7 linked regions of the Ovis aries genome follow. The protein of the gene in region 7 purifies or fractionates together with the protein of the main gene of each other region. This does not show direct contact. Links are inferred from orthologs where the notes say so. Each region holds a gene or a part of one and is shown on either strand. Other genes may lie near its edges.

Region 1 (3,932 bases), on a different chromosome or scaffold from region 7:
TGCTGAGCAAGAAAGGGCACAGTTTCGAGGTGGACGTATGGTCCATTGGGTGCATCATGTAAGTTGGGAGTTGTCTCAGGACCCACCAGTCTCAGCAAGGGGCTTTCTGGACATCTCACTTGGCAGGCTTTATCCTGCAGACCTTTCCGCCTTTGGAAAGACTGTTCCAGAGGACAGATGGTCTCTGAAGGAACCCTCATTGCTGAATTGGTATATCCTGTAGGATTCCTGCAGCCTGGGCTGTGGGTTCAGGGAATGAGGGAGGGAATGTCTCCACAAACTTGCTCTAATCCCTTGCTATTCAAAGTACGGCAGACCAGCTGCAGCATCACGTAGGAACTTGTTACGCAGAATCTCAAGACCCAGACTAACTGGATCACAATCTGTATTAAGACCCTTGAGTGATTTCTATGCACAATAAAGTATTAGAACCACTGATCTAAAAAGCAGCATTGGGTGGGAAGAATTAGGCCAGGAGTGGTGCTGGCAGGAGGAGGTCCTGTGGTCTGTCTGGGTCAAGGCCATCAGAGGTGGGTGGTGGGCAGAGAGTTGGGCCTGTTCAGGTGTTACCCCTTTTGTTGTTTCCCTGGATACTGGAGAGTTAGAAATGGCTTTCCTACTTCTTTGCCTTGGAATTTCCCACATGAAAACTTGCAGCCTAAAGTACAGAACTATTAACTGTGGGGCTGCCTCAAGGAAAGTGACCCCTGCTTGGACCTGTTCCATGTTAGCTGGCAGCCTCTGGCCCCTAGATTACCGCAGGCTATAGCTAAAAAGTCACTGGTCCATTAGAACCCAGTTTCATCACCTGTATTCTACTGAGGGTACCTCCCTGCCAGTGTCGTGGCTCCTGGGGCTGCTTAGTGAACTTGTGAATTGTCCTCTGGGGCCCCAGAGTCACAGTGAATGCCCAAAAGATGTCTGACTTCCTTTCTGGCCCTGAGAGGATTCCTCCCTGCATCTGGGTTTTGGTTGGGAGCCTTGAGCCAAATCCCTCCTTGTGCTTACAGGTATACCTTGTTAGTGGGCAAGCCACCTTTTGAGACCTCTTGCCTAAAAGAGACCTACCTCCGGATCAAGAACAATGAATACAGTATTCCCAAGGTGACTAAAACCACTTTAAGTTTACATTTGTTTTATTTAATTCCCTCCCCCACCAAGTGATTTACAGAGCCCAGCCATTTCCGGGGGAAAGAGATGGGTCAGTGCCACCCCATGGGTAAGTGTAACAGCTTTAGAGGGTCCTGTCTGAAATTGCATACAGAGGCTGATGTATGTGTACAGAAACAGTTTTTCTTGGGATGAGAGTTTGCAGGCTTTCATCCGTTGGGGAGATAACCCAAAAGACGTGAAAAACAGAGAGAAAGAGCCAGAGTAGGGGCAGACGGAGAAGTGCTGCTTAGCCTGGCTGTGGACTGTCTTGGTTCAGATGGGCTCTGCCACTTTTTAGCCAGATCACAATGGACAAATGGCCTGAGTCTTCTGAGCTGCAGTTTCCCATCTGTAAAGTGGAGTCCCTGCCCCAGAGCATCTTGCACACAGCGAGCGCTCACAGAATCTCGAACCACCGTGAAGGCGAAGTGGCGTGCTTTTGCAGCCCCCAGCAAGAGTGCATTGAGAGGGATAGTTGGCAGCAGTCTGGCACACAGCTGCTTCCACAGTTTGGCATCTTTGTCTTATGTGAAGCCAAGAGCCCTGTCTCCATCAGGATGGATGGGCTGAATCCGTTACAGAGGGTCAATTATTGGGCCGAGTAGAGCGGTTCCCAGTGTGGGGGTTGCACCTGACTGCCTCGGTGTGGGTGCTGGCTCCACCACTCACTCGGGATGTATCTTAGGCACTTGACTTCTCTGTGCCTATTTCCTCATCTGCTAAAGAGGGATGGTACTAGAGAGCTTCAGTCCTTGGGTGTTTCTCTGAGGGTTAAGTGAGTTCATCTACACGAAGTGCTTACAATATTTTGCTGGTAGATAGTAAGTACAAAGTTGATGCTAGGCTTTACTGTGCATTTGACCTACCCTGGGTTGGGTCTCCTTGCCAGGGCTCCAAGCTTGGTGCTGTGTCCCCACTTTATAGATGAAGATACAAAGGCCCAGAAAGTTGGGTTGGTTGGCACAGCTGGTGCTGAGGGACAGAACTGGGACTTACACCAGGCCTTTATGACTTCCAAGCCTTTGTTTTCAAGTGCTGTTCTAGTGGTGAGCAACTTGTCAACTTAGTAAAGCTGCCAGTGGAAACTTGGGACGTTTATAGCCACTGAACATGGTGTATTTGGGGCCGGGTAGTGGGTGGTGGTGCAGCAGCTGGGTTGGTCCTGTGTCATATCCTGCTTATGACTCCCCACCTTCCCTCCAGCACATCAACCCCGTGGCCTCCTCTCTCATCAAGAAGATGCTTCAGCCAGATCCCAGTGCCCGTCCAACCATTCACGAGCTGCTCAATGACGAGTTTTTCACTTCCGGCTATATCCCTGCCCGCCTCCCCATCACCTGCCTCACCATTCCACCGAGGTTTTCAATTGCTCCCAGTAGCCTGGACCCCAGCAACCGGAAGCCTCTCACCATCCTCAATAAAGGTAAACCAGAGTGTGGGTAGACAAACAGCCTTGCCTGCCTCTGTGTGTGAATGGATGGTCCCCAAAGCTCAGGTGTGCAGTAGGATGGGCCCCAGTCTTTGAATCCATGGTCCCCATCCTTATGTGGCAAATGCCTTTCCCCATAGCCCTGTCAGGGAAGACAGACCTTACTGTGACTGAGTCAGACCTGTCATGTCCGGAGAGAAGAGAGTGGCTAAATGCCATGCCTGAATAATTCTTAATATATATTTTTTAAATCGTTGATATTGCCCTGCATGGTTCATTGGAAAAAATGTTGAGAAGCTTCAGATACACACATGGAGCACAATGTGCGTGGGACCCACATCACCGCCAGAGTCAACACTTGCTAAGATTTGTAGTGTTTGCTTCATAGCTCCTTGTTTGTTCCTTTGAAGTATTTTTGAAGTTAATTCCAGACATCTTGCCATTTTACCCCCAAGAACTTCCGTACGCATCTCTCTAAAAGGATAGACATTTTCTTACAAAACCACATCTCATTGCTTGGTTTGTCGTTGTTTCTAGGTCTCTTCAGAGAGCAGAATTAGAAAATACATAACTGGGGTGGGGATCTCTCATTATATGTGTGTGTATGTGTGTGTATTGTTTTTGTCCCAAACAACATGATAGTAAGTTGTACACATTCTGGCCTTTACTACTTAGTACTTCAGTGTATATTTCCTAAAAACAATTCTTTTACCTAACCACGACACAGGACCTAGTTATCAAGTTCAGGAAATTGAAATTGGTGCAAACTGGTCTTACAGCAGTCTTTTTCTCCACTGTGAAATTACTACTTTAATTCTCTTTTGGTAATTTGTAAGGGTCTAATTTAATATTATAGGATCTTTAATTTTATGCTTGTATTTCTTTTTCTCTTACAATGAAAACCTTGTTTGCTTACACGGTATACATGAATTTTCAACATATATAAAGTATGTTATGAAACTATGTTTATTTCCATGCAATTCTTTTTGTCCTTAGACTACATTACACACACACACACACACACACACAGAAAAACCCCAAGAAAAGCCACTTGAAATACTTTATTTCTCTGTGTGGATATAGCACAACTTTATGAGTTCATTTCAGTTTTGACACTGCTGTTTTAAGGATTACCTTTTTCTTTTTGCTTTAATTTTTGATACTTTCTTTGGTTATATGAATATTTCCTTTGATTGGTGATCACTTGGTTAAGGTGGTGCCTCCAGTGCATAGCTACTGTTTTTCCTTCGGTGATTAATTTATACCCCATGGGGAGCTTCTCTGAGAGAATACTACTCAGACTTTAGCTCACTGATGTCAGCATCCATGGTGGATACAACAGCAGTTATTG
Region 2 (4,596 bases), on a different chromosome or scaffold from region 7:
ACACTACAAAATTGTATTTTCCACAATTTCAATTTCTACACCCAAAGTTCAAAAACTGGAGGAATTATGAAATTTAAAAACTTTAGGAATTCTCTTTAAAAAAATATGACAGGTCTTAAAGATGTACAGTACTACTGAAACATAAAAATATTTCAAAATCTTGATGTTAGATGATCCTTCTAAAGTATGAATGTAACTATTATCCAAAAACTAAAGTTCAATTGCAATTTTCCTCCTTACAGTCAAAGTGCTTATACCAACGGTCTCAAATGAATTTCAACCCCATGAACAAGGAAATATGGAAAAAACTCACTATTTCAAAAGTAGAGAAAATAAATATTTTACTATAAATGAAATGTTTATGTATAACATTTGGGATGAACAAACAGCATTCTGGCCAGCGAAATTCATTTTAAAAAATGATTTTGCCGATTAGTCTATTATTTCATATACTGTGCAATTATAATCCACCCTTTCAGAAAAGGGGAGGGGGAAAACTAGGTTATAAAATGCAAAAATTAAACATGGATTACTCACTCCCTGAATTCTATCTGCTTTCACTTTCGTCCTCTTATTTTGTGTGGAGACAACACTAAACATCTATACATTAATTTTACAGTGGTTCCTCTTCTATTATATTCATAGCTCGTTAAGATGCCTAGAATGCTGAGGCTTGCTAAATTATTTACTGCATCCAAAAACTTGGTATCATGGGAATAAGACAAAATTCACCTCTCAAATTCAGGGTTTAATATCTTTAACTGGACCTCACTTGTAGTAACAATCGCCTACAACGAATCATTCCAGTCAAGTTCTAATGCAATTTGCAAAGAAGCAGTAGTGTAGAGAGAGAAACATAACCCTTGTAAGACTAAGCTACATGTACAAGTGCACACAGAAAACCAGCACAGTCACAAGTCCCTGTTCCTCTCAACATGGCACACTGCTGACCACATTTTTAGGGTCCCCTCCCCCGAGAGGTGGGGAAAGAGAGGGGCCAACTTCTAAGTAGCAATCAACAAACTGCGGTTTTAAACATAGAATCAAGTTGCCCCCAAAAGTGCCAAATCACCAGATAATTAACGAAAGCCAATGATTCCTACTGTCAAATTCGTTTCACAAGGGAAACCACTACAAGGCAGTCTCTAAAACATTCAGAATAAAGGTCAGGAAGCCCTACAGGGAAACGGGTGACTATCACAACATTTCCAGCAACTCAAAATACCCCTCAAACCTGTGCTCTGCATACACTAGTTAGATTTTAAAGCAAACAAAAACAAGGACTATGGCTGTCACATTTAAAATAATTTCCTTAAACACAAATTTCTAGTTGCCAAAAAAGAGCCAGGCCAGGAACAGCTGGCCTGAGTTACCTTGCACATACCGTAACGCGCAGGCAGCCCAGGGCCCCGGAGCACACCGCACTGGGTCCCCTGGAATCCCGAGGCGGCCCGCGCAGCTGCAGGGAGCAGGAAGCACCGCACCCGCGCCGCGGTCCCCAACCACTCCGGAGAGGCTGCGGGGAGTAGGCACTACCGCTTTGCAACTGAATGGCTGACACATCCGGTCCTGGCTCTTACACCACTCCGCCAAATGCAAACTTCAAAGGCCAAATTCAAACTCCAAACAGAAGTCACTCAAGTCTCCGTGCTGCGGTCTGTATTCCCCAGGACACTAGGAGTCCCTTGGGGGACGCGATTAGAAAACTCTCCGTCCTAATACCCCGCAAGCCCCCGAGAGCTTGCAGCCCGTCACCCTGCACCGCTTTGACAGGCGTTACGGAGCCGTCCACCCGGAACCCCCTGCGGCCGCGCTCGGGGCGCGCCGCCTCCGTTCCGGCCCGGCCTCCGGTACCTGCCTGGAAGCTCTGCCTGTCACCGCCCCGGGGACCCCACCGCTTTCTGCGCCGCCGCCCTCCGGCCCTCCAACCCGGTCTCGGGCAGGGCTGCCCACCTGCTTCGCCCACCTACACTGCCCGCCCGCAGGCTCAGGCCTCACCCCCGCGCGCCCCGGGACTCAGGTCCGGGGTCGCCGCCGCCGCACTGCTGCTCGCCTCTTCCAGCCTGACCCGGAGGGCAGCGCCAGGGTCCCGTTCCGGGGCTCCTCGGAGAGCCCCGATTCCAGGAGCCCCACAAAGCCAGCCCGGCCCCCCACACCTTATCTCAACTAGTCCAAGCAGCGCGGCTCGCACGCCTGTCACATGTCTGCAAACAATAACAAACTCTCCAGCACGTCCCCGCCCCGGGCCCCCGTCCGGTCCCCCAGGCCAGGTCCGGGGCGCCGCCCGAAGCTGGAAGGGTCAAAGAGGGTGCCCGAGAGCTCGGGTCCCGGATAGCCGCGCGCAGCCTTGCTTTGCGGAGCCCCGGGACGTCCTGCGCGATGCCGGGGTTCATTCATTGCAATAGCCCGCCCGCCCCCCAAGTCCCCGCCGCTCCCCGGCCGCGCTGCTTACCCGGCCGGGGCCGCCGCAGTCGGCTCGGCGGCGGGCGTCCGCTTCTCCCCCGGCTCGGCCCCCGCGGGGCTCTGGGCGCCGCTGTCCGGTGCGGCCGCCGGCTCGGCAGGGTGGGCGCCACCGCGGCTCGCGGCTCCGTGGGGCGGCGGCACCGCCACAGGATGGAAACCGCTCCCGCCCGCCGCCGCGTCCGGGGGCTCCGGCGACGGGGAAGTGGAGGAGGACGGCGGCGAGGCGGCGAGGAAAAGCGGCTGCTCGGGCAGCTGGTCCAGCTCCACACTCCGCACTTTGCGCAGCTGCCGCCGCCTCCAGTCCGCCCGCTCACGGCCCCCACTGCCCGCCTCCCGCAGCAGCCCCGCGGCTGCCGCGGGCGCGCTGCTCGCCTTGAGGGCCCCTCTGCCGCCGCCCGCTTCGGGGCTCGCCGCCCCGGCGCCCGGGAATCCCGAGGACGAGGCGCGATTCCCCGCCGCCGCCGCCATTTTCTCTCGCGGGCTACATTCGCTCGGCCCCTGCGAGGGAGGGAGGGGGCGGGGAGAGTGCAGGGGGCGGGGGGCGGGCTCTGCGCCTCTAGCGTAGGGCTGGCTACGCCAACTGCGTGAGCGCGGCCCTTCGGGCGCCCGGCCGGGACTGACGGACGGGCGGGCGCGCTGGGTTCAGTGGGGGGAGGACGGCGGGCCGCAGGTTTCGGTGGGGAGCGGACTCTTAGCTCAGCCCCGCACGCGGGCAGCCGAGGTGGCCGCTGCGGGGGCGCGCTGGGGTTCGCGCGCCTCACCCGCCGCGCCGCCAGGTAGTCCCGGGCTGCACCGGCGAGAGGAGGAGCCTCGGTGGCAGAGCTCCGCTTCCTCTCCGCCGCAATCTCGGCCCGGCTCGGCCGGCGCTCGCCCTAAGGGAATTGCAATTCGAGCTTTGATGGACGGTGCGTTGAAGGGGGCGCAAGCCAGAGGGCCTGCAGTCTGTCATTCGCGTGCCCGTTGCAGTGGGCGTCGGGGAACCCGGGCGCGGACCTACCTACCCTCGCCCCCGCCTCCACTCCGCGCGGGACGCGCAGGTGGCGCCCGGGACGGTCGCCTGCTGCAAAGCAAGAGAAACCCAATGTTCAGCTGACGTGATGCCGCGGACCCAGAACCCAAGTTTATATATAAAAAAAGCTTTCCTCATCTTCTGCCCACCCCCAGATCGTGCTACAAATAAAACAGAAGTTTCTGGAATATCGTGTTCAAAACCTGAAATCACAGGTTTGGGACACCCTCTTCACCCACTGTTCCGCCCCCAGCTAGAGGGAGACCGAAAGGACCGGGCAGCGGGGTCGGGGGGGTGGGGTGGGTGGTCGAGGTGAATCGTTATAAATTTTTTTTCCTCCGCTGTCTTTGGGAAAGGCAGATAACGCAGGACCACAGCATGTTTGGGGAAGGAACCAGGAAGTGCTGGCTGCTGTCATCCTCCGCCAGGTTCTGACCCTCCCCGAGCCCTATGCCTCTGGCTGCACGTCCCTCTTCCCCGCAGGGTCGGGCTGCCTGTCGGGTTCCCTCCGCCCCCACCCCCGCGGAGCCCGAGCTACCCAGCGCGGCGTCACGAACCCTGCTAGTCCCTGAGGGCGTCTGGCGATAAGGTGCTTTGGAATGGAAAAAGCACCATTTACATGTTAATGATTTTAGACCTTTCTTCTGGCTTCCCTGTCGCGTTTACTTCTCCCCTCCCTTCTTTTCCTCCAGCCGGTGTGTCAGTGCTGAGAAATCTCCCTCAAGCCCGGAACCGAGTCCCTAGATTTACTTTGTGAAACAGGAATTAAGGCGGGGGTAGGGTGGGGGAGTGTCGTGGAGAGAGAGAGCTGCTCAGGAAGAGAAAGGAGAGCGCTAACTTGTCGGTATTCATACATTTAGACAAAAGTCTAAACTGTCTACAAAATAATTCCTTTGATTTCTTGGAAACAGATAAAATGAAAACCTCTTTCTTGGCTATAAATGGTAACTGAGGAGGATGGTGATATCCGAGCGATTTTTAAAGCGGATTCAGATTTCATATTAGCTCCGTGTTAACTGCTACGAAGTCTGCCATAAGCTAGTTTTAGTTACATCCAACGGTACAAATTTTGAAACTTTAGATAAATCTGTTAAAATTTGAAGTCTACAGTTAGGCTATGATTA
Region 3 (3,932 bases), on a different chromosome or scaffold from region 7:
CTGCCCAACTCTGATCAACTACGTATATAGGTTTGATGGTGGCGCCTTAAAGGCAGTGCCAGAATCCTTTCAAGATGGGCCCAGCCTGAGCTCTCTGATGTTAATCTCACACCCCCACATGCTCCACTGACATAAAATACCTATATGTACAAAAACTGGGGACAAAACACCTACGTGCAACAGTTCTCTTTGCCAACTCCAGCATCCCCAGAATACAAAACCAAGCTTACTTTCTTCTGAATAAGAAACCTCCCCCACCAGCTCTCTTCAGTCCTCAACCAGGGAAGGGAAAGAAATGGGAGACCACCTTAAAGAACCTTCTAAGTCCTAGTCTGGCCCTTTGCCAGAAAGAGGAAAGGACTCACTCTTGGTCTGGGCAGAAAAGGTACTGGTAAGTTTGGCGAAAAGTTCACTGTTCTCAAATCGGTCCTCCTTCACCTTTGTCCAGAAGCAGTCCTGGGAAAGGTCCTCAGCGACAAACTGTAGATACAGGCAGGTGTTAAGAGTTACTAAGCCGAGCTCTGTACTTCCCATCCTAGAAAACTGACTGAGATGCAAAAGCAGCAGCTGGCTGTGCTATCAACATCTTACTAGAGTGAGACTAACCTGGGGCACAGAGAACAGCTATGCTCTTTGTGGTGGACCAGATGATGATTCCAGCTTGTGTGCTTAGTGGCGTTTATTCAGAAACTAGACTCAGATATGCTGCTTATCCTCCTTCTAACCCCAAATCCTCTACTTTTAGAAGCAATAAGGCTTTATTTTACATCTTCCCTTGCTTTACATTACACTTTCCCCATCAATGTGGCTAAATGTACCAAATTCGTTCATTTTATGAACAAGTTCCTTTATTTTCACTTGGTTTCCAAAAGCAAAGGACTGATATAGAATCGTAAGGGTCTCAAATACATACCATACCTGTGCAATCATATCCTGTGTAACTCATTTACTGGATGGGCAGAGGTGGTAGGGGGCTGTATCCATAAATCTATGACTTTTGGATGAGTAAAATTATCAGTACCTTGCAGATCAGTGAAATGACTATTATCAAACTATGCAGTATCATGGCACTCATATCCTCAGTAAAAAGGGCAAAAAACATTAACTGTAGGATAAGTTTAGGTTTTCTAGCAGAGTACAGGCTCCAAGAACTCTCCCAAGTGATATCTGGCATGTAGGGTATGTCTATTATCTGCTGAATAAACATATGCATGAGTGGAACTTGAAGACACACAGACGTGAACCATAAGAAAGGGAAGTCCAACCATGCACAAAACACAAGGTAGGAAGCTGAAGGGTTTTTTTTCTTAATCTACTAATGAAGAGACGGACAGAAATTCTCACCTTGGACCAGTTTGGCCTCCGGAGCTGCACCTCTGGCTTGTAAAGTTTCTTTGGGGTTAATCCAAATGGCAGAACTGGGGCTGCAGGAACTCCAAAAGGGAGAGGTGGAGGAATGCCAGGGCCTCCAGGAAATGGAGGGGGTGGAGGGATTCCACCAGGAAGAGGGGGAGGGGGAGGTAGCATTCCTGGTCCTCCAGGCAAGGGAGGAGGGGGTGGGGGAAGACCAGGACCTCCAGGCAGGGGAGGAGGGGGTGGGGGGATGCCAGGACCTCCAGGCAGGGGAGGAGGGGGGGGGGATGCCAGGACCTCCAGGCAGGGGAGGAGGGGGTGGGGGGAGGCCAGGACCTCCAGGCAGGGGAGGAGGGGGTGGGGGGAGGCCAGGACCTCCAGGCAGGGGAGGAGGGGGTGGGGGGAGGCCAGGACCTCCAGGCAGGGGAGGAGGGGGTGGGGGGATGCCAGGACCTCCAGGAAGGGGAGGAGGTGGGGGGATGCCAGGACCTCCAGGCAAAGGGGCAGGAGGAGGTGGGAGGATGCCACCACCTCCAGGCAAAGGGGGAGGAGGGGGGATGCTAGGACCCCCAGGTGGGGAGATGAAAGCACACCCAGGTAGAGGAGGAGCAGGAGGTGGTGGAGGAAGACTGACACTGGCCTCAGGAAGAGGGGGTGTGGGGACTGATAAGGGGGGTATAACGGGCCCAGAGTCGCCAGGTAAAGAAGGGGCAGGGGTAACAGTAGCACTGCTAGGAGGGGCTACAGCAGTAACTGCAGCAGAGAGAGAAGCCACTTCTTTCTTGGCATCTTCCAGTTCCTTGGACAGCTTGGCGACCTGTGGAAATACCACCAAGAGGAATATGTCTCATTCCACTTCAGGGACCACTGGAAAGAACCTAAGAAATTACTTGATCCAAACTTCTCATTTTACACATGAAGGGAGTGAAAACAGTGAGTTGATAGGCTCCACCTAAAGTCACAGAGCTACTTAGCAACAGAGACAAAACTAGAATTCAGGTATTCATGTTCTTAGTTCAGTATGCTTTGCATTAAGAAGGCAACTTCAAAGTTTATGTTAAATTCTCCCTTTGATGAGAAATTGCAAAGATCAAGCAAACTAAATATTCTAGTTATATAATTAACATGTGTTATAAATGTAGTACTATAACCACATAAAGTGATCAAGTTATCAGGTATCACAGATCATATAAATATCTATAACTGCAGAGAGAGTATGTAGGCATAGATCTGTCCAGAGATGACTAAAGTAAGAAAAAATTAGTAAACAGAACAGTTTATTTAGTATTTACTCCTAAAGGTACTAAAATATTTCTAAATTACTAGAAATATTATCTTTATCTCTGAGTAGTTCTGTGACTCATTTTATTCTTTGTGTTATGTATTCTCCAAATTGTCTATCTTATGTATTACTTATTCCCAAAACAGTTCATGATTTAAAGAATATGCATCACCTAACTAGATTACCTATTAGTAACTGAACTCTTCCAAGTTGTGAGATGACAGAGTCCTGCTCCCACACAGGCTCACCCTGAAGCTGCTGATGGCAGTCACAGGTCACTCTGCCTTCCCTGTTGGGACATTACCTCTCCTGTGAGCTGAGACACTTCTGCTTCCAGGTCCTGCTTCTCTGTGGCAATTTTTTGCTTTTCAGAATCCAATGAATCCTTTTCTCCCTGAATATCCTGGAGCTTCTGCTCAAAGTCACTTTCCATCTTTTTCATTTCCACCTGGAGCTCATGCCGAGCTGTTAACTCAGAGTCCAGCTAGAAGAGAAAGAAATCAGGTTCTCCCTCTCAGCAAAAGCCCAGTGTTATTCCCCATAATTTACTGTTTTGTGTTAATCCTTTATCTGTTGAGCTCACTGACCCAAGGAATGCCTAGGAAAACAGGCCACCATGATTTTGACCTTAAAATCAAGGTTAAAGGAGGGGGAAGCCAGGGATTATTTCCACAGACTATCTATAATTGGGAGTGGTTTTAAAAAAAAGCCACCGCCACCAAGATTTTAAGGACATTTAACCAGGGCAGCTAAGGTGCACAATGCCAACAGTCTCAAGGATCAGAGTTATCAACAATAGGAGCCCTTAATCAAAGAGAAAAAGAATTCAGACATATTCCAGTTCCTATTATTCTATGGCTAAGAGGCCTGAGACATCAAGCAAACCCAAGTGCTGACAACATTATATGAGAGTGCCACCTGTCTTCCTCCTGCTCGGGGGCCCATGAACTGTGCAAACTCACAACTGACCAGCTCTTCATGATCACATCTATACCACGATCACACTTTCTCCACTGAGTAACCTATACCAGAAAGGTTTCCCCAAGGAACTGCTACTGTGTGCTGAACGCTTCCAAAATATCATGGGTAACTATGTCACATGTTGGAAAAATCACAACCCTTAAACAAAGAAAGAAAGATATAGCTCAATTATTTTTGATCTCTCATACATACCTTTTTTTCCAGCTCTGTAGCTTTGGCTTCTGATTTCTCCACCTTTGTTTTATCAATCATTTGGTCTAAAAAGAAAGCAAAGAGTCAGGAAGTCAAGTTCCCAATTCTCCTCTGCCCCTCTCAC
Region 4 (4,732 bases), on a different chromosome or scaffold from region 7:
AGATGGATCAGCCCCAAGTGATATTAGAGATGTACCTACTCCAGAGATGGAAAATGCATGGCACACATACCCCAGCATCCCTATGTCAGGCCTCTGGCACACATCATTAACTGATCACAGCTCTTTCCGGCTAAGCCTAAACATAGCCTCGGAAACAGTCTCAACTTGGCACTCCGGATAACCAGTATAATAAAATGGAGTTAGCAAGCAAGTTGAAACCTATTTGCCACTCCTAACCTGGTTCATGCTCTGCTCTGCCTACCCAAAATACCAGCACCACTTAGAAAACAGCTCAAATGAGAGAAATGCCCACATTGTTATATCCTTCTTGATTAGTCCAATATTTTATCTTCCAGTCAAAAGCAAGGAGAGGTAGCCTTTTCCTAAACTACAGAAATAGCAACAGTGCAGTGGCTGTAGGAATGACTTTCTACTTCAAAGCAGAGTAAACAAGGTATTATATTCTCCTTCACCCTCAACAGCGGATATTACATTATTGTTCTCCAACAGATACTGTACATATTCTCTTATATGAAGACAAGAAAATGCTACCAGGGTAATTCCATTCACATTTCAACTCTATAGGTGTTAAAAACAACAACTCTAACTTCATTCAACTAAGTTTTTAGCCTGATTTGACTCAAAGACCATGAATACAATTAATCAAGACTCTTTCTCACGGTCAATTACAGTAGAAGCAAACTAATTCTATCAGAAAACAGGCTTCAAGCCCACACAATTGCCTGAGGGACCTCAATCAACGGAGGAGGGGAAGTTAATCTAACATTTCCATACTGTTCTGCCTATTCCCAGAAATGACCAGCAGGCAGACAGCAATCAGACAGAGTAAGTAGCATTTGCTAGCAGAGAGAACAAACTATCAAGACATCAAATCTGGATCCGATTTGCTGTGATGGTCTTGGCAAATCATCAAACTTTTCTTTCCCTCAGTTTACCCATATGAAAAACGGGCAGAATAATCTTAATCTGTCACAGGGATAATGTAATGCAAAATATCAAAACATAAGAAGTATACCACTTGGCCTGAACAAATCAGAAGTCCACACAGACTGCCATTTCTCACCCTTCCTATTTGTTGCTCTACAAAGCCTCAGGGTGCTACAAGTGATAATATTAAGATGAAGAAGGCAATTGGGTTGATTTATTTGGCTGAGTATCAACCTCCCTCACTCACATGCCAAGAAAAGCCCAAAAGGCTTGACCTTGAGGGCAGATAACTTTCAACCCTGGCCAAAAAAAAAGGTGGAGGGGGGGAAATCCTCTCTACTAGATTTCCACCTCAGAGGGAGGCAGACCACAAGGAAAAGCAAAGAAACACACTTCGATGTACTTGGAGTTTAGGCAAAAAAGAGGCAGAAGTCAACCACCACTATAGTCAAATAATGTTTTCATGCATAATTATTATTACCACCCTGAAGTCCCAGTTTCCTGAGCGCTCTTGAGCGCTCCCTTCGGCTGCTTCCCCCATTCTTGTAGAAGCTAAAGCTTGTATCACTTCTGCTCTTGGTTTCTTAACTCTGCCCTCAAAGACCAACCAGAGAGGAAACCTAAGGCAGGCTTTTACCCCCAGAGACCCCAGGCCTCAGGCTGACCAGCCATGAGGAGCACGGAATGAAGCAAACTCTTTCAAGGTTTTCATGAGGCATTTGGCCAAATAGCAAACTTCCAGCCCTCTCTGGGATCAAGAGAGTGATTTTGTGTTTTTCTGCATTTTAATTGTTGGGATGTGGCCACACACGGCGGTAATTAGAACAATGCAACTACCACCACGCAACTGATACTTTCAGTCTGAGTTTCCTAAAACAGGCCAGGCTGAGAGGGGGAACAGAACGGAAGCCATAAGGAATCAAACCAGGACACAAAAGAAGGCAAACCAGCTCCGCGAGGGGCCTCCTCTTTCTCAGGCAGGCAGAGAAAAAAGAGTAAGAAGCCCTCTCTTGCCGTCTTCCTTCCCCTTCCATTTTGTGTATCTGAGGGGCACAGACAGCCCTGAACGTTCACTAAACAAGTTAAAACTTCTCAGCTTAACAACTGGCATGGGGCTAAGCCCAACACAGAGCAGCAGGCCGCTAGGCCCTCCCTCAAACCCCACCAGGCCCAACTCTCAATCCAGGCTTTCTCTGCACCATCACCTGTCCCTCAAATAAAGGTTGGACCCCCACCCCACTGGGTGGCAGTAACCCCTGACATAAGGGTTTCAGGGATGCTGAGGTTGTGCTGAAACCTGGATAACCTAGGATCAAGTCAGGCCAAGGAAGAAGAGAGTCAAAAGCCCCTGGAGACCTTCCCCCTAGGTCCCAGTCCCACACTCTGGGGGAGACTGAAGAAAAACATGAGGCAGAGAGGCACACGAACAGGTATGTGGGGACCTGAGTGCTTTTTCTCCATATGGCACCGGTGGGCATAGGAGTGACAAGTGGGAGCACCCCTCCCCCCACCCCAATGAAGAAGCAAAAGGCTAGGCCCCCCTCTCCAATCTTCAACCTCTCCATCGGTTGCTCTGCCCGTCCCCGCGGGGTGGGGCATGGGGCGTCCGCTAGCCCCTTGGGGTGGGGGGGGAGGGCGCCACGGCACGCTCAGGGGGGCTGTCGCTCGCCTGTTCCCAATCAGCTCCCATCATCTGGCCGCGGGGAAGCGAACTCAGGACACAGGGGACGAGAGGGTCTGGGACTTAACACTCCGCCACCCCCTCCCCCACCGGGTCCCGTGCTCTCCCCGCGGAGGCGGCCAGCGAGGCCCTGCCTCGCGGGCGGACGGGCTGGGGGAGGGGAAAGAGGGAAGGAGGGAGGGACGGTCTAGGTGCCCGCCCCGAGGCCCCAGCGCCACCTGCCCTCCGCCACCTACCGCGGCTCCTCCAGTTCCCAGGGCCGCGGCCGGAGCAGCTCTGAGCGCTCGGTTCGCCCCACGGTGCCCTTAAAAGGCGCCGGCGTGAACCAACGGGTCCCTGAGGAGAGTGGAGCGATCGCTCGGGTTGGGAGAACCCCCCCTGAACCGTCCGCGGAGGCTTGAGCCCCGCGTCGTTTTTCTCGCAAAGTCTCTCTTGGATAGCGCCGTCGGAAAGAGGCCGGGCTTTTTAATTTAGCGATGAGGGTGGTTTCCTCCCTAGGAAGTCACCCCCTACAGAATATTGCGGAAGGTGGACTGGGCCAGTCGAACGCAAATCTCGAAACTCGCGGGGGAGGCCGTGTTGGTCGAAGGTAAACAAAGCCATTGCTCCCGCCCTCTGTTACTACATCAGCCCATGTACAGCCCCCAACTCGATTCCGGCAGCGTAATGGAATTAGCCAGGGTTCCTCTCACCTGTTCTCCTGCCCCCACTCTCTAAGGCCTCCGCTCTGAAGGAATTCCCCTTCCCCCAGCAGAGGACCCGTCCGCGTCGTGAAGGCTTCTGGGAGGCGTAGTCCAAGCTCCGATTAGGGCCTGCTCTGAGTCCCAGGAGCCCCTCTTCCAGCTGCCGGATCGGCTCGAACCTTATAAACCCAGGACCTGTAACGGTTGCGGGCCGTTCCCACTTGTTTGTGTAGTTAGCTGTCACTCAAAATACTGTAAATCCGACGAGGGCCCAGGGCTGTTCACTCCTTCTCCTCTCTTTATGCCCCCACCCCCAGCAGGATGAGGTAATGGGATTGTGATTATGACATCATAGGCGGTTCAGTTGCTTGCGTGGGGGAGGGGGGAGAAGGGAAAGTACGGTGGTTACAGCTGGACCACTTTCTTTTTTTTTTTTTTTGATTTAATAAAGTTTTATTTTTCAAAATGTACAGCTGGTGGGACCTGTTCATGCATCTTCACCAGCAGCTGGGGCATCTCCACCCTTGGTGTTTCTGGTGTAAATCACTTGAGCTCTGTGCTTTGAAACCAGTTTAATAAGTCCTTTACTAAGGAGTTCCTGAAGGGCTGCTCTGGCCAGGGAACCACGAATCTTCAGTCTCTCAGAGACCACAGCTGGAGTTATAAGTTTATAGTTGGGAACTTCTTTACAGAGTTTGTCATATGTTGCTTTGTCAAACAAGACTAGGTTATTGAGCTTGTCCCGAACTTTGCCTTTGGACCACTTCTTCTTTTTGGCCTTGCCCCCAGATTTGTTCACTGGATCTTTGTCTTTCTTGGCCGACTTTCCGGCATCTTTCTTCTTCTTGTCGTCCTTGGGCGGCATAGCGAAGCCCGGAGAGCAGCTGCAACCACTGCCGCCTCGCTAAGATGTCGGACAAAAAGCTGGACCACTTTCTTTAAACCTTTCTGGGAGGGAGGAAACAGGTCGCTGGGGGAAAAGATATTGATAGTGCTATATTTCCTCTTCAGGAAGAGAAAATCACCTTTTATTAAGTCTCCATCGCTACCAGTACCTCCTACTCAGCCAAAGTTTAAGTCCTTTTTGAAGAGACTGAATGTAGCAGTTGATAGGTGAAGAGGCTGTGAAACAGCTAGGTGGTTTCTGGCTCTTAAGTAAATTTGAGTATCAGCTATCAAAGAAGGTTTAGACAGAGGGTAAAACATGGGAAAAGGAGAGGTTTTAAACAATGCCTTCGTATTATGATCTTTTTGTGGGACAGAGTTTTAGATTTTTAATCAATTGGAAAGTAGAAGTACTGCAAGTAATCTTCACTATTACATTCAGCAAGAAGTCCCCTGAAAGACACGTTTTCCCTAAATATTTCATGCACCACTGAAGTCTGGGACAGATAAGTAATCGTGACCAGCTCAAAGGTAG
Region 5 (4,376 bases), on a different chromosome or scaffold from region 7:
GAGAGAACCGGGAAAGGGTTCTCCCCAAAGGCCTGCGTACAAAGGGCCAACTTCACCCTCTGATCAGCGGACGGGGAACTCTAACGCCAGGACAGGGACTATGTGAAATCTCTGTCGGGTGCGAAGCTGGCAATGCATACTTTATCTGAAAGGCACGGGAGGAAGGAGACAGGGGGATACTGTTATTTTCATTTAAAAGTTTTTAACTCCGAAATTCCCTTGGGAAAACCTAGGGCATCTTCCCCCTCGAGAAGAAAAGGGGGGCGGGGCGTGGAGGGGCCGAATCTCTGGCGCTTACAACGACGTGCAGTGTTTACAGAGACCCGCCTCTTCTAGGATGCAAACCCCTCCACGTCCCTACCCACCCGCTACCCCTGAAACAGCAGTCAGGCGCGGTGCCATGAGAGAATTGTGTGCCCTTAAGCAGCACGCCGTAAGAAACCCGGAACACACCCAAGCATCGAACCTATAAATCGGTGCGCAGGCACCGGGCGCCAGGCGCGTCCCGGCGGCGTGCACCACAAGCGGTGACCGCGCCTTATCGAGACCATCTCACCCCGGAAGGGGAGTCCTCAAACTTGCAGGTTGCGGACAGGGCTGGCTCAAAGTTGCTGGAGCGGTTTTCGCCGCGTCGCAAGAACCGTGGCTGCCTCCGAGGTTCGGGCGCTTCCTAGTGAGCACACCCGGGAGGAAGCCAATTGGGGGGGAAAGAGCTGAAAACCCGAGCCGAGCTGGGGTTCTGGAGGAGCGGCCCGCCCCCAGGCGGCCTCCGGGAGCGGCTGGGACTTGGCAGTCCCGGAGCCGGCCGCCAGGGGCTCCTACCCCATCCCCCAGCCCACCCAATTCACCCCACCCCAGAGACACATGGACTGCGGGTGACCTGTCCCCCTTCCCCGACCAGCACCACCCCACCCCACCCCAGCCGTGCGAAGGGAGAGAGCGCAGAGCGACAGGAAAGCCCGCGGAGGGCAGGGCGCAGAGCCCAGGGTCCCCGGGGAAGCCCTGATCTCGCCGGGACGCCGGGGCCCGGGCCGGCCCGGTTGGGGGCAGGGGAGGAGGCCGGCGGTGGGGCCAGGCCGCGGCGCGGCGGCTAGCGGGCGCGGCCCCTTTAAGGTTCTCCCCGCCCACCGGCTGCGCCGGGCGCTCTCCCCGCCCCGGGGTCCCGGCGAGATCGGCGATTGGGCGGGCGCGGCGATCCCTTTGAAGTGTGGCTGCCGATCGCGGCTATTTGACGTGCGGCTCGCGGAAGGCGAAGGTTTTTGTGTTGCTCGCCGGGGCCAGCGGCGGCGGCGGCGGCGGCGGAGGAGGAGGAGGGGTGGAGACGCGGCGACCGCTGCAGCGCACTCGGAGCTGCGGAGCGAGCCCACCCGCCCCGGGAGCTCGCCTCCCCGGTGCGCCCCCGCCCTCCCCGCCCCCCCAGCGGCGCTGCCTCCTCCAAATGAGCGATTCGCCCGCTGGATCTAACCCAAGGACACCCGAGAGCAGCGGCAGCGGCAGCGGCGGCGGCGGGAAGAGGCCGGCGGCGGTGTCCCTCTTGCCCCCGGCGGACCCCTTGCGCCAGGCGAACCGGCTCCCCATCCGGGTCCTGAAGATGCTGAGCGCTCACACCGGCCACCTCCTGCACCCGGAGTACCTGCAGCCGCTGTCCTCCACGCCCGTGAGCCCCATCGAGGTCAGTCCCCTGGTCGCTGCCCGCCGAGCGCCCGCCCCATTCCGCCCACCACTGCCCGGCTCCCTGTGCCCCGCGGCTCGGTGCGACGCTCGGGTCCGGCCCCAGTGGCCGACGGAGTGAGAGGAGGGACGGAGATACAGAGGGATCGGAGCCCACTGGGTTCTCTCCTCCGGGCTTCTCCCCGGGGGAGAAGGTTCCCCTTCCACGCTCGCCCTTCGGAGCTTCGCGTTTCCTCTCTCGGATTGGATTTGCTCTTGGAGTGTCCACTGGGCCCTTTACTTTTCCTCGGCACCCAGTCCCCAGGCCATAGAGTCTGTCTCCTGGGCTTTTTTCGGCCCCCCCCCCCCCCCACCCCCACCTCTCCACCCAGGTTTGTTCTCTTTGAAGCCCGATCGCCCCCCTCCCTCCCCGTCCCACTCCGCTTCTGCCCCATCCGGTTGGAGCGCACGACGCCCGGGCACTCCCGACCCCGGCTCCTTCTTTCTCCCGCTCCCCTGGGGGCCCTCCCCGGGAGGGAAGGGGGCTCCGAAGAGAGCGCCTGCGGCCGCCCAGGCTCAAGCTCCAGCTTCTCCCCTGCTCCCACCCCGCGGCGACACCGCCAGAAACCCGTCCCAAGCGAAGTTCCCCAAACTGAAGGCATAAGTTTTTAACCCAGGCCTAGAGAGGAGGAGGAGATGAGAGAGCAGGGGGCGAGTCACGGCCCCTCCCCCAGCCCCGACTCCAGAGAAGTCACCTTCCCCCGGGATGGTCTTCGGTGGACGCCTTCCACGGCCCGTTCCCCAGGGCCTGCGGCGCCCTCCGGGACCCGGGGCAGCGAAGGATCCCACCACTACCAACGCGCAGTGTAAGCGCAGTTGCGCTCAGCCCCCGCGCTCGCAGCAGGTCTCCCCGAGGCCCTCCTTTCCCATCTCACCCACCCTGCCCCCCAGGTAAACCCCCTCCCCCCGGCCGCTCCGTGGGTCCCTGGTCTCATCCCCTTCTCCCTCCCCTTGCCGCTGTCTCCCACAGCTGGACGCCAAGAAGAGTCCTTTGGCGTTGCTGGCCCAGACTTGCTCGCAGATCGGCAAGCCGGACCCGCCGCCCTCGTCCAAGCTCAACTCGGTAGCGGCGGCCAACGGGCTGGGAGCGGAGAAGGACCCCGGCCGCTCGGCCTCGGGCGCCGCCTCGGCCTCTGCGGCACTCAAGCAGCTGGGGGACTCCCCGGCCGAAGACAAGTCCAGCTTCAAGCCCTATTCCAAGGGTTCCGGGGGCGGCGACTCCCGCAAGGACAGCGGCTCCTCCTCTGTGTCCTCCAGCTCCTCCAGCTCCTCCTCCTTGTCCCCGGGAGACAAGGCGGGCTTCAGGGTGCCCAGCGCCGCCTGCACGCCCTTCCCCCCGCATGGAGCGCCGGTCTCCGCGCCGTCGTCCTCGTCCTCCCCTGGCGGTTCCCGGGGCGGCTCCCCGCACCACTCTGACTGCAAGACCGGGGCCAGCGGGGAGCTGGACAAGAAAGACCAGGAGTCCAAGCCCAGCCCGGAGCCGGCGGCCGTGAGCCGTGGCAGCAGCGGGGACCCCGGCCCGCACGGCGGTGGCGGCGGCGGCGAGCCCGGGGCCTCCGGGCGCAAGTCGGAGCCGCCCTCCGCGCTGGTGGGGGCCGGCCACGTGGCACCGGTGTCGCCCTACAAGCCGGGCCACTCGGTGTTCCCCCTGCCTCCCTCCAGCATCGGCTACCACGGCTCCATCGTGGGTGCCTACGCCGGCTACCCGTCTCAGTTCGTGCCTGGCCTGGATCCCAGCAAGTCTGGCCTCGTGGGAGGCCAGCTGTCGGGGGGCCTGGGCTTGCCGCCGGGCAAGCCCCCCAGCTCCAGCCCGCTCACCGGGGCCTCCCCGCCGTCCTTCCTGCAGGGATTATGCCGAGACCCGTACTGCCTGGGAGGTTACCACGGCGCCTCGCACCTCGGCGGCTCGGGCTGCTCCACGTGCAGCGCGCACGACCCGGCCGGGCCCGGCCTGAAGGCGGGGGGCTACCCGCTAGTGTACCCGGGGCACCCGTTGCAGCCGGCCGCGCTCTCGTCCAGCGCCGCCCAGGCGGCTCTCCCCGGCCACCCGCTCTACACCTACGGCTTCATGCTGCAGAACGAACCGCTGCCGCACAGCTGCAACTGGGTGGCGGCCAGTGGGCCGTGCGACAAGCGCTTCGCCACCTCGGAGGAGCTGCTCAGCCACCTGCGGACTCACACGGCCCTGCCCGGCGCCGAGAAACTTCTGGCCGCCTACCCGGGGGCCTCGGGCCTGGGCAGCGCCGCCGCAGCCGCTGCGGCCGCTGCCTCCTGCCACCTGCACCTGCCCCCGCCCGCCGCCCCCGGCAGCCCGGGGTCGCTGTCCTTGAGGAGTCCACACACTTTGGGGCTAAGCCGGTACCACCCGTACGGCAAGAGCCACTTGTCCACAGCCGGGGGCCTGGCCGTGCCGTCGCTGCCCACAGCTGGACCCTACTACTCACCGTACGCGCTGTACGGACAGAGACTGGCCTCTGCCTCGGCACTCGGGTACCAGTAACCACAGCCCTGCCTCCTCCCCGCGCCCTCCTGCCCCACCCGCCGCCGCTGCAGCCCCCCGCCGCCGCCTGCCCCCGCCGCCGGAACCCCCCCTCCCACCGCCCAGATCCCTCCCCTCCCCACCGGACTGTGTATTTATTTACTATAATGTTAGCTTACAAGCTGGG
Region 6 (2,899 bases), on a different chromosome or scaffold from region 7:
GTTGGAGGGTTAGGCAGCTTTTTCTTAAGAGCCCACCTGCCTCAAAAATGCTGGGCCTGACATCAACAGGACAGAATCAGGTATCTCAGGATGGCGAAGTTCAGATACTTACCCAGGGCAGGGCGGGCTCTTCAGGGCAAGGTTGAGGGGAGAGGCCACTCAACCCTCGGGCCTGGGTCAGAAGTGAGATGCCATGACTCTCCCTGCACCCATCCATCACCCTCTTCCTCCCCCAGTCCTGGCCTAGGCCTGTGACCTCCCCTGCCCTCTCTTACCTGCTGAACTCTGGAGGCTGATGGGAGCGGTGTGAACTGGGTTTTGGGGCGGGTGGCGAGACGCCGCAACACTGAATATGAGATCTGGGGAGAGACGGGGGTGGCTGAGCAGGGACAGATCGAGACCCAGCAGGGATCCCAGCCAGACTGTTCTGCCCTTGCCCAGACCCCGGTAGCTACAGATACAAACTGGAGCTGAGGGGCCAGGGGATGGTACACGCTGAGCCCGTCCAAAGGGTGATGGCCGGGTGATGGCAAGTGGCACTGCTTGGCCAGGGGAGGGCATCAGGCAGGAGTCACAGCCGTCCTGTGGAGAAGAACCAGGTGGAAGAGTGATCCCTCCCACTTGGCACTGCCCTGTCTTGTTCTCACTTCAGCAGCCAGTGTGATTCTTTAAGAGCTAATCAAACCATGTCCCTCCCTTGGTCATCCCCCTCCCCATGGCTTTCCACTCATTCCAAGTCATAGCCAAGGTCTTATGCTGGTTTACAAACCCTTACCCAACCCAATCCTGTCATTGCTCTAACCTCTCACTTCCTCTCCTTCTTATTCTGCTTTAGCCTTGCTTTTTTGCTGATCCTTAAGCATACCAGGTAGACCCCCTGTGTACATCTGAAGTTCTCATGTCCTGGAACGTTCTTCCCTCAGATATCTGCGGGGCTCACTCCCTCAACTCTTTCTGCTCTTCACGTAGCCACACCTCAGGGATACTCGCTTGACCCTTGAAACTGCAATACCACCCACTCCCTCCAGTTCTCCTTCCCTTATAGTATCTTGGGGGCTTCCCTCGTAGCTGAGACAGTAAAAAATCTGCCTGCAATGCAGGAGACCCAGGTTCGATCCCTGGGTTGGGAAGATCCCCTGGAAGAGGGCATGGCTACCTACTCTAGTATTCTTGCCTGGAAAATCAATGGACAGAGGAGCCTGGCAGGTTGTAGTCCATGGAATTGCAAACAGTTGGACATGACTGAGCAACTAACAATCTAGTACCTTACTTTTTTTTTTTTAACAGATAATTTATAACCATCTGACATACTATATATTTTATATGATTATTTATTTTCTGTCTCCCCTTCTAGAATGTGAACTTATTTCCTATTGTATATCCAGAATCTAGAACAGTGCTTGGCACACAGTAGCTGGTCAATAAACCCTTGCGTGTGGAGGAAATGAATGAGCTGTCAGATCTGTCTCACTCTCAGCACTGACCTGATGGTGACCTAAATATGTATCAGACTGTGACCTCTGGAGGCCTCCAGGGGCCAGTGCCACTCTGGAGAGGGCTTGGGTCCATCTAGGACAAACAAGGACCCAATGAACATGCTGAGATCCAAGCAGGGACTGTTTGGCTGTACCCACAATCCTCAGTGCTGCTGGGGAATCCCTCATGTACATCCTCTGCCCCTTCCCCCATCCCAGGAGGGTCCCATCTCACCCTGGTGTGGGTTTTATCTCGGGTTTCTTTTAGTGGTACCCGCTGGGCCAGGCCGAGGGGGCCGCCTCCTCCTTCATCTGACTGAGTGACAACTTCATGTTCCCCTTCAGGGAGAGAAGAAGCTAGGAGGAGACAGGAAATTTGCTGTAGTGTCTGAAACACACATCAAAGTCTGGCACATGGTGTTGCAACCTCCAGAAAGCGTACGCCAGTTTGACAGCCACTACTGCACCATCAAGGCTGGGGACCCATCCAGTACTCCTTTGAACCCAGCACTATCTCAGTTCAGTTCAGTTCAGTCGCTCAGTCGTGTCCGACTCTTTGCGACCTCATGAATCGCAGCACGCCAGGCCTCCCTGTCCATCACCATCTCCCGGAGATCACTCAGACTCACATCCATCGAGTCCGTGATGCCATCCAGCCATCTCATCCTCTGTCGTCCCCTTCTCCTCCTGCCCCCAGTCCCTCCCAGCATCAGAGTCTTTCCAATGAGTCAAGACTTCGCATGAGGTGGCCAAAGTACTGGAGTTTCAACTTTAGCATCATTCCTTCCAAAGAAATCCCAGGGCTGATCTCCTTCAGAATGGACTGGTTGGATCTCCTTGCAGTCCAAGGGACCCTCAAGAGTCTTCTCCGACACCACAGTTCAAAAGCATCAATTCTTCAGTGCTCAGCCTTCTTCACAGTCCAACTCTCACATCCATACATGACCACAGGAAAAACCATAGCCTTGACTAGACGGACCTTAGTTGGCAAAAGTAATGTCTCTGCTTTTGAATATACTATCTAGGTTGGTCAAAACTTTTCTTCCAAGGAGTAAGCGTCTTTTAATTTCATGGCTGCAGTCACCATCTGCAGTGATTAGTAGTCACTCATTAATCTGAATACCCTGAGTGGGCTAGGGGTGTGGTAATGGCTCTGAAGGGCTGACGATAGGACAGTGAGTCAAAAGTAAATCTTGCAGGAAGTGGCAGAGAGAGGATACAAACGGGGACTACCTCCTCTGACACAAGTGCAACCGGGCAAACCTCTGGCCTATGAAGAAGGTCTCTTCCTCCTCCTGATCTGGCCTTCCTGCCACAGCCCTCCCGAGCTTTCTCTCGGTTTGCTCCCTACAAGCAGGCTCCCAGCTAACGTTCTCTCTCCATGGCCAGACACACTCACCAGGCTCCACAGAGGTCTCCGGAAG
Region 7 (3,932 bases):
TCTGCCCAGACGACAGAGGGAAAACTGCCTGTTTGTCTACTCGGCACCAGAAGCATGAATGATTTGGTTGACTTTTTAGATACTGCTTTTCTTGGCTCTGAGTCCAGCTCTCTATGTATTACAAGTTCTCGACACACGGCCCTTACTCTAGGTCAGGTTTTCTCAGTTTCGGCACTCCTGACATTGGGGTGGGGCAACGCTGTGCTGTGTGTTACGGGGAGTGGTCCTGGGCACCACAGGCCTCCAACTCCCAGACACTAGGAGCACCACCCCTTCTTGCACCCCCCACCCCCTCCGAAGTTGGGACAATCCAAAACGGCTCCAGGTGGATCCAAAAATCCTCTGGGGAGAAAACTGCCATCAGCTGAGAACCGCTCTCCTGGATCCACTAAGCCGGGCTGGAGCGGAGTGGCAGGGCCTAGGTTAGCCCGAAGTGGGGTTCTCACCTCCATTCCATCCATAGCCATAGTGGCCAAGTAGTTGGGGTCCTGCTTGTTCCAGCAGAGGCGCAGCAGTGGGTGATGCTGTGGGTCTTCGTAAATGATGGTGCTGTGTTCTAGGTGACGGAGGTCAAACATCCGCACCGAGCCATCAGCACCCACAGAGGCGAACATGTCCCTGCCACCCCCTGCCCGGCTAAATGCAATGTCGTAGACCTGTTGGTGAGTAAGAAGCAACTGTCAGATTCAGGTCAGTTACCTCCTTTTCATATCACAGGGAAACCTACTGTCCCCTGGTTCATCTAAACCCCTGCTCATGACTTAGAAGGAGGTAAATAAAGCCACACCACGCCTGCGAGGACTGGAAACTGAGGGTGCTAACACCAACGATTTCCCAAACAGTGACGACCATCCTACAGTGGAAGCTGGTAGGCTTCCTCTCACTTGCTGCCTTCCAAGTATTCTTCCTCCACCTCCCGCGGTAACACAGCACACACCCTGCTGACCAACAGAGCACAGATAACTCAGCAAGTATTCTATCCGGTCGGCTTGGACAGGCTCAATGAAGCCAGAACCAGTGGCTGTCTCCTGCCGCTCTGTTACGAGACTTGAGACATTTATTTCCTGGCCCTTGTGGCTTTCATCTATGTACAATCAGAGCAGTCCATGACCACAGGAAGGCTGAGGTCATCGACTGGAGAGGCAGAAGTGGCCCTCCTCTGACCACAGTTCTGCTGTGAAACCTGGACCTGAGACCCATGTGCAAGAAAGAGGTAAGAGCCCCTCTGAATCATGGGAGGCTCGGGTATTCCTTTATTTACAAAGAGGGTTAATATTGCTCTCCTAGGAAATGCTGTTTCTCCTAGTTGGTTTGTGTTCATAAGTATAACAACTTAGGTTTTGAATTATTTTCTTCTGCATTTATTCAGTTCAGTTCAGTCACTCAGTCGTGTCCGATTCTTTGCGACCCCATGAATCGCAGCACACCAGGCCTCCCTGTCCATCACCAACTCCTGGAGTTCACTCAGACTCGCGTCCATCGAGTCAGTGATGCCATCCAGCCATCTCATCCTCTGTCATCCCCTTCTCCTCCTGCCCCCAATCCCTCCCAGCATCAGAGTCTTTTGCAATGAGTCAACTCTTCGCATGCATTTATTACCTGCTGCAAACTTTGTATTGCACTAACGTCTATGAGAAAACAGGCAGAGAGCAACAGAGGGCTTCAGAGAAAGAAAGGGACAAAGAGAGACCGACAAAGCCAGAGCCAGACAAGCGGAGAGAGAAAAAAAGAAAAACAAAATGTTGAACAACAAAAAACAAAAATGCCAAACAAAACCCATCTCCTGGGGTCAAGGACTGTAAGAGCTGACTTCTGGGGAGACATGAGTGGAACCTGTCCCTCACACTGTGACTCCAGCCTTCCTGAGGTTCTACCTTCCGGGGGACACTGACTAACAAGCATCTGTTTCAAATCAACATCATAAATTGCCCTTCCTCTGGCTGACAATGAAGAAATTGCACTTCCCTCTCTACGGTGGGAACGAGGAGTGGTTCAGCAGGAAACTAGGCTGGCCATTCCAAGACCCGACAGACCTAGGCACTGGCCGGCACTGTTTATCCACACGTGCACCCACAGCTGGCGCTCTGACTCCCAGGCACAGGGACACCACGGCAGCATCACTAAGCAATAAGGTGCCCACGGGCAGTACAGCCAAGCGTGTAGAGCCACTCTGACTGCTCCTTCCTCTGTGTTCCACCCACATATTTCATCAGAAGCCAAGAGCGGGCGACAACTCCCAGACACACGCTACCCTCCTCTGCACCAACCCGCCAGCAGCAATGAGAACCTCCGAGCAAGTCTGTACTTCAACAGAGATGCGGACAGAGAAAAATCAAAGGTGCTGGGAGGTGTCATGTTTCTCTCCGGACAACCATCCTGAGGTTCATTTCTTTGAGGCCAGGGTGTTGGTTCAGGGCCTGCTGGCTGTTAAACTCGCTGTTCTTCTTGCCCAGACGCCCTCACTGCGGCCAGTGTGGCTCCTCAGCTTTACCATCATCTTTACCATCATCTGGCATCTTTACCATCATCTGGCACCCCATTCCAGTACTCTTGCCTGGAAAATCCCATGGATGGAGGAGACTGGTGGGCTGCAGTCCATGGGTTTGCTAAGAGTCGGACACGACTGAGCGACTTCACTTTCACTTTTCACTTTCATGCACTGGAGAAGGAAATGGCAACCCACTCCAGTGTTCTTGCCTGGAGAATCCCAGGGACGGGGGAGCCTGGTGGGCTGCCGTCTCTGGGGTCGCACATAGTCGGACACGACTGACGCGACTTAGCAGCAGCAGCAGCAGCAGCAGCTGTGTGAGCCATCTCCTCATTAAATCCCCTCAGGTTAAACATGCGGAGTAGCTCTAGTTTTCCGGGTTGGACCCTGACAGAGAACACATGCTAAGTGTCACAGAACCAAAATGTAGCAACTTGCTCCACTGGGTGCCAGGACGTCCTTCCTGGCGTTCCCGGCAGGTCAAGCTCTCTTTCTCTGCCCCTTGTTTCATGGTGACCCAGTCAAGCAGACTTTAACAGATCTCGGCGCTGGGAGCACAGAAAGCTGAAGGATGACCTCTCACTAAGAATGATAATCTAGTCACCAACTTCTGTGGACAACCTCACAGCTCTCACCTAATGTCTACGCATCCTTTTAATCTGTACAGACATTAACACTCCTCGCTGCACAGGAGTTGGAGGGAAAAGGAAACACTACCCACAGGAGACATCCTGTGATTTCCCTGGTGGAGGACCAGCACGTGGTGGCTCTGGGAGTTAAAAGATTTATGACCATTTTACAAAACCACTCAGAAGAAGGCTCTGTAAATACAATTAGAGCTCACTCCCTTCAGCTCTTCCAATACACATAGGAGAAACATCACCATCAAAGTTAACCATATTCAATTCCAAATAGTATTACACATATAAGTATTAAGTGAACATACTAGAAATTCATAAAACAAGTTTACAGAAGAGTTAATCAATTAGTTTTGTCTGCCAGGAAATTCCCCCTCTTCTTGCCTTCCTGCTCCCAAAAAAGTAAACATACTTCAAGGTAAGTGTTACCCTAAAATTATAAGATTATTTTTTAATCACATCAGGTCCAAGTTTGCCTCTAAGAGAGTCTGTTATTAAAAACCAGCAATCTCTGGCACAAAAAGAAAAACAACAGACTACAGAATAAGTTGTTTATATGTTCATATAAACATACTGTTTTCCACTGTTTTGACATACTACTGCTCTCAATTTAGATGAGAAGACATCAGCGTTATATAATGATCTTCCACGTCACTTGCAAAAAAGGAAAATAATGATCTTCCACGTCACTTGCAAAAAAGGAAGACAACGGTCTGACCTCACACTAAGGCAAAGAAAGCACCTGCAGAGCAGCATCAGTACCTCTTTGTCATGGGCGATGAGCTGGGTCTTCACGTGGCCAGACA

The links.
Region 1: the proteins of DCAF7 (region 7) and PLK1 purify together in Homo sapiens (affinity purification with mass spectrometry; 3 studies listed by BioGRID and IntAct, with this or other methods). This does not show direct contact. The link is inferred for Ovis aries from reciprocal best matches to the Homo sapiens genes DCAF7 and PLK1.
Region 2: the proteins of DCAF7 (region 7) and MAP3K1 purify together in Homo sapiens (affinity purification with mass spectrometry; 3 studies listed by BioGRID and IntAct, with this or other methods). This does not show direct contact. The link is inferred for Ovis aries from reciprocal best matches to the Homo sapiens genes DCAF7 and MAP3K1.
Region 3: the proteins of DCAF7 (region 7) and DIAPH1 purify together in Homo sapiens (affinity purification with mass spectrometry; 5 studies listed by BioGRID and IntAct, counting the BioPlex papers as one, with this or other methods). This does not show direct contact. The link is inferred for Ovis aries from reciprocal best matches to the Homo sapiens genes DCAF7 and DIAPH1.
Region 4: the proteins of DCAF7 (region 7) and FAM53C purify together in Homo sapiens (affinity purification with mass spectrometry; 3 studies listed by BioGRID and IntAct, counting the BioPlex papers as one, with this or other methods). This does not show direct contact. The link is inferred for Ovis aries from reciprocal best matches to the Homo sapiens genes DCAF7 and FAM53C.
Region 5: the proteins of DCAF7 (region 7) and ZNF703 purify together in Homo sapiens (co-immunoprecipitation; 5 studies listed by BioGRID and IntAct, counting the BioPlex papers as one, with this or other methods). This does not show direct contact. The link is inferred for Ovis aries from reciprocal best matches to the Homo sapiens genes DCAF7 and ZNF703.
Region 6: the proteins of DCAF7 (region 7) and TROAP purify together in Homo sapiens (affinity purification with mass spectrometry; 3 studies listed by BioGRID and IntAct, counting the BioPlex papers as one, with this or other methods). This does not show direct contact. The link is inferred for Ovis aries from reciprocal best matches to the Homo sapiens genes DCAF7 and TROAP.

What each region holds. Positions count from the first base shown.
Region 1 is NC_056077.1:21,884,702-21,888,633, forward strand, and holds part of PLK1 (serine/threonine-protein kinase PLK1), read left to right. Parts: coding exon 1-58; intron 59-1,010; coding exon 1,011-1,104; intron 1,105-2,355; coding exon 2,356-2,575; intron 2,576-3,932. UniProt on the Homo sapiens protein: Serine/threonine-protein kinase that performs several important functions throughout M phase of the cell cycle, including the regulation of centrosome maturation and spindle assembly, the removal of cohesins from chromosome arms, the inactivation of anaphase-promoting complex/cyclosome (APC/C) inhibitors, and the regulation of mitotic exit and cytokinesis.
Region 2 is NC_056069.1:22,595,475-22,600,070, forward strand, and holds the start of MAP3K1 (mitogen-activated protein kinase kinase kinase 1), read right to left. Parts: upstream 2,957-4,596; 5' UTR 2,932-2,956; coding exon 2,453-2,931; intron 2,188-2,452; exon of another isoform or gene 1,999-2,187; intron 1,781-1,998; exon of another isoform or gene 1,564-1,780; coding exon of another isoform or gene 1,385-1,563; intron 1-1,384. UniProt on the Homo sapiens protein: Component of a protein kinase signal transduction cascade. Activates the ERK and JNK kinase pathways by phosphorylation of MAP2K1 and MAP2K4. May phosphorylate the MAPK8/JNK1 kinase.
Region 3 is NC_056058.1:50,322,818-50,326,749, forward strand, and holds part of DIAPH1 (protein diaphanous homolog 1), read right to left. Parts: intron 3,874-3,932; coding exon 3,809-3,873; intron 3,120-3,808; coding exon 2,940-3,119; intron 2,171-2,939; coding exon 1,651-2,170; intron 1,614-1,650; coding exon 1,345-1,613; intron 481-1,344; coding exon 366-480; intron 1-365. UniProt on the Homo sapiens protein: Actin nucleation and elongation factor required for the assembly of F-actin structures, such as actin cables and stress fibers. Binds to the barbed end of the actin filament and slows down actin polymerization and depolymerization.
Region 4 is NC_056058.1:47,406,406-47,411,137, reverse strand, and holds the start of FAM53C (protein FAM53C), read right to left. Parts: upstream 2,908-4,732; 5' UTR 2,866-2,907; intron 1-2,865. Other genes in the region: small ribosomal subunit protein eS25, read right to left, coding at 3,800-4,177.
Region 5 is NC_056079.1:32,067,874-32,072,249, forward strand, and holds the start of ZNF703 (zinc finger protein 703), read left to right. Parts: upstream 1-1,254; 5' UTR 1,255-1,438; coding exon 1,439-1,672; intron 1,673-2,680; coding exon 2,681-4,210; 3' UTR 4,211-4,376. UniProt on the Homo sapiens protein: Transcriptional corepressor which does not bind directly to DNA and may regulate transcription through recruitment of histone deacetylases to gene promoters. Regulates cell adhesion, migration and proliferation.
Region 6 is NC_056056.1:136,909,306-136,912,204, forward strand, and holds part of TROAP (tastin), read right to left. Parts: coding exon 2,875-2,899; intron 1,833-2,874; coding exon 1,711-1,832; intron 583-1,710; coding exon 466-582; intron 360-465; coding exon 276-359; intron 173-275; coding exon 113-172; intron 1-112. UniProt on the Homo sapiens protein: Could be involved with bystin and trophinin in a cell adhesion molecule complex that mediates an initial attachment of the blastocyst to uterine epithelial cells at the time of the embryo implantation.
Region 7 is NC_056064.1:47,617,993-47,621,924, reverse strand, and holds part of DCAF7 (DDB1- and CUL4-associated factor 7), read right to left. Parts: coding exon 3,889-3,932; intron 657-3,888; coding exon 447-656; intron 1-446. UniProt on the Homo sapiens protein: Involved in craniofacial development. Acts upstream of the EDN1 pathway and is required for formation of the upper jaw equivalent, the palatoquadrate. The activity required for EDN1 pathway function differs between the first and second arches.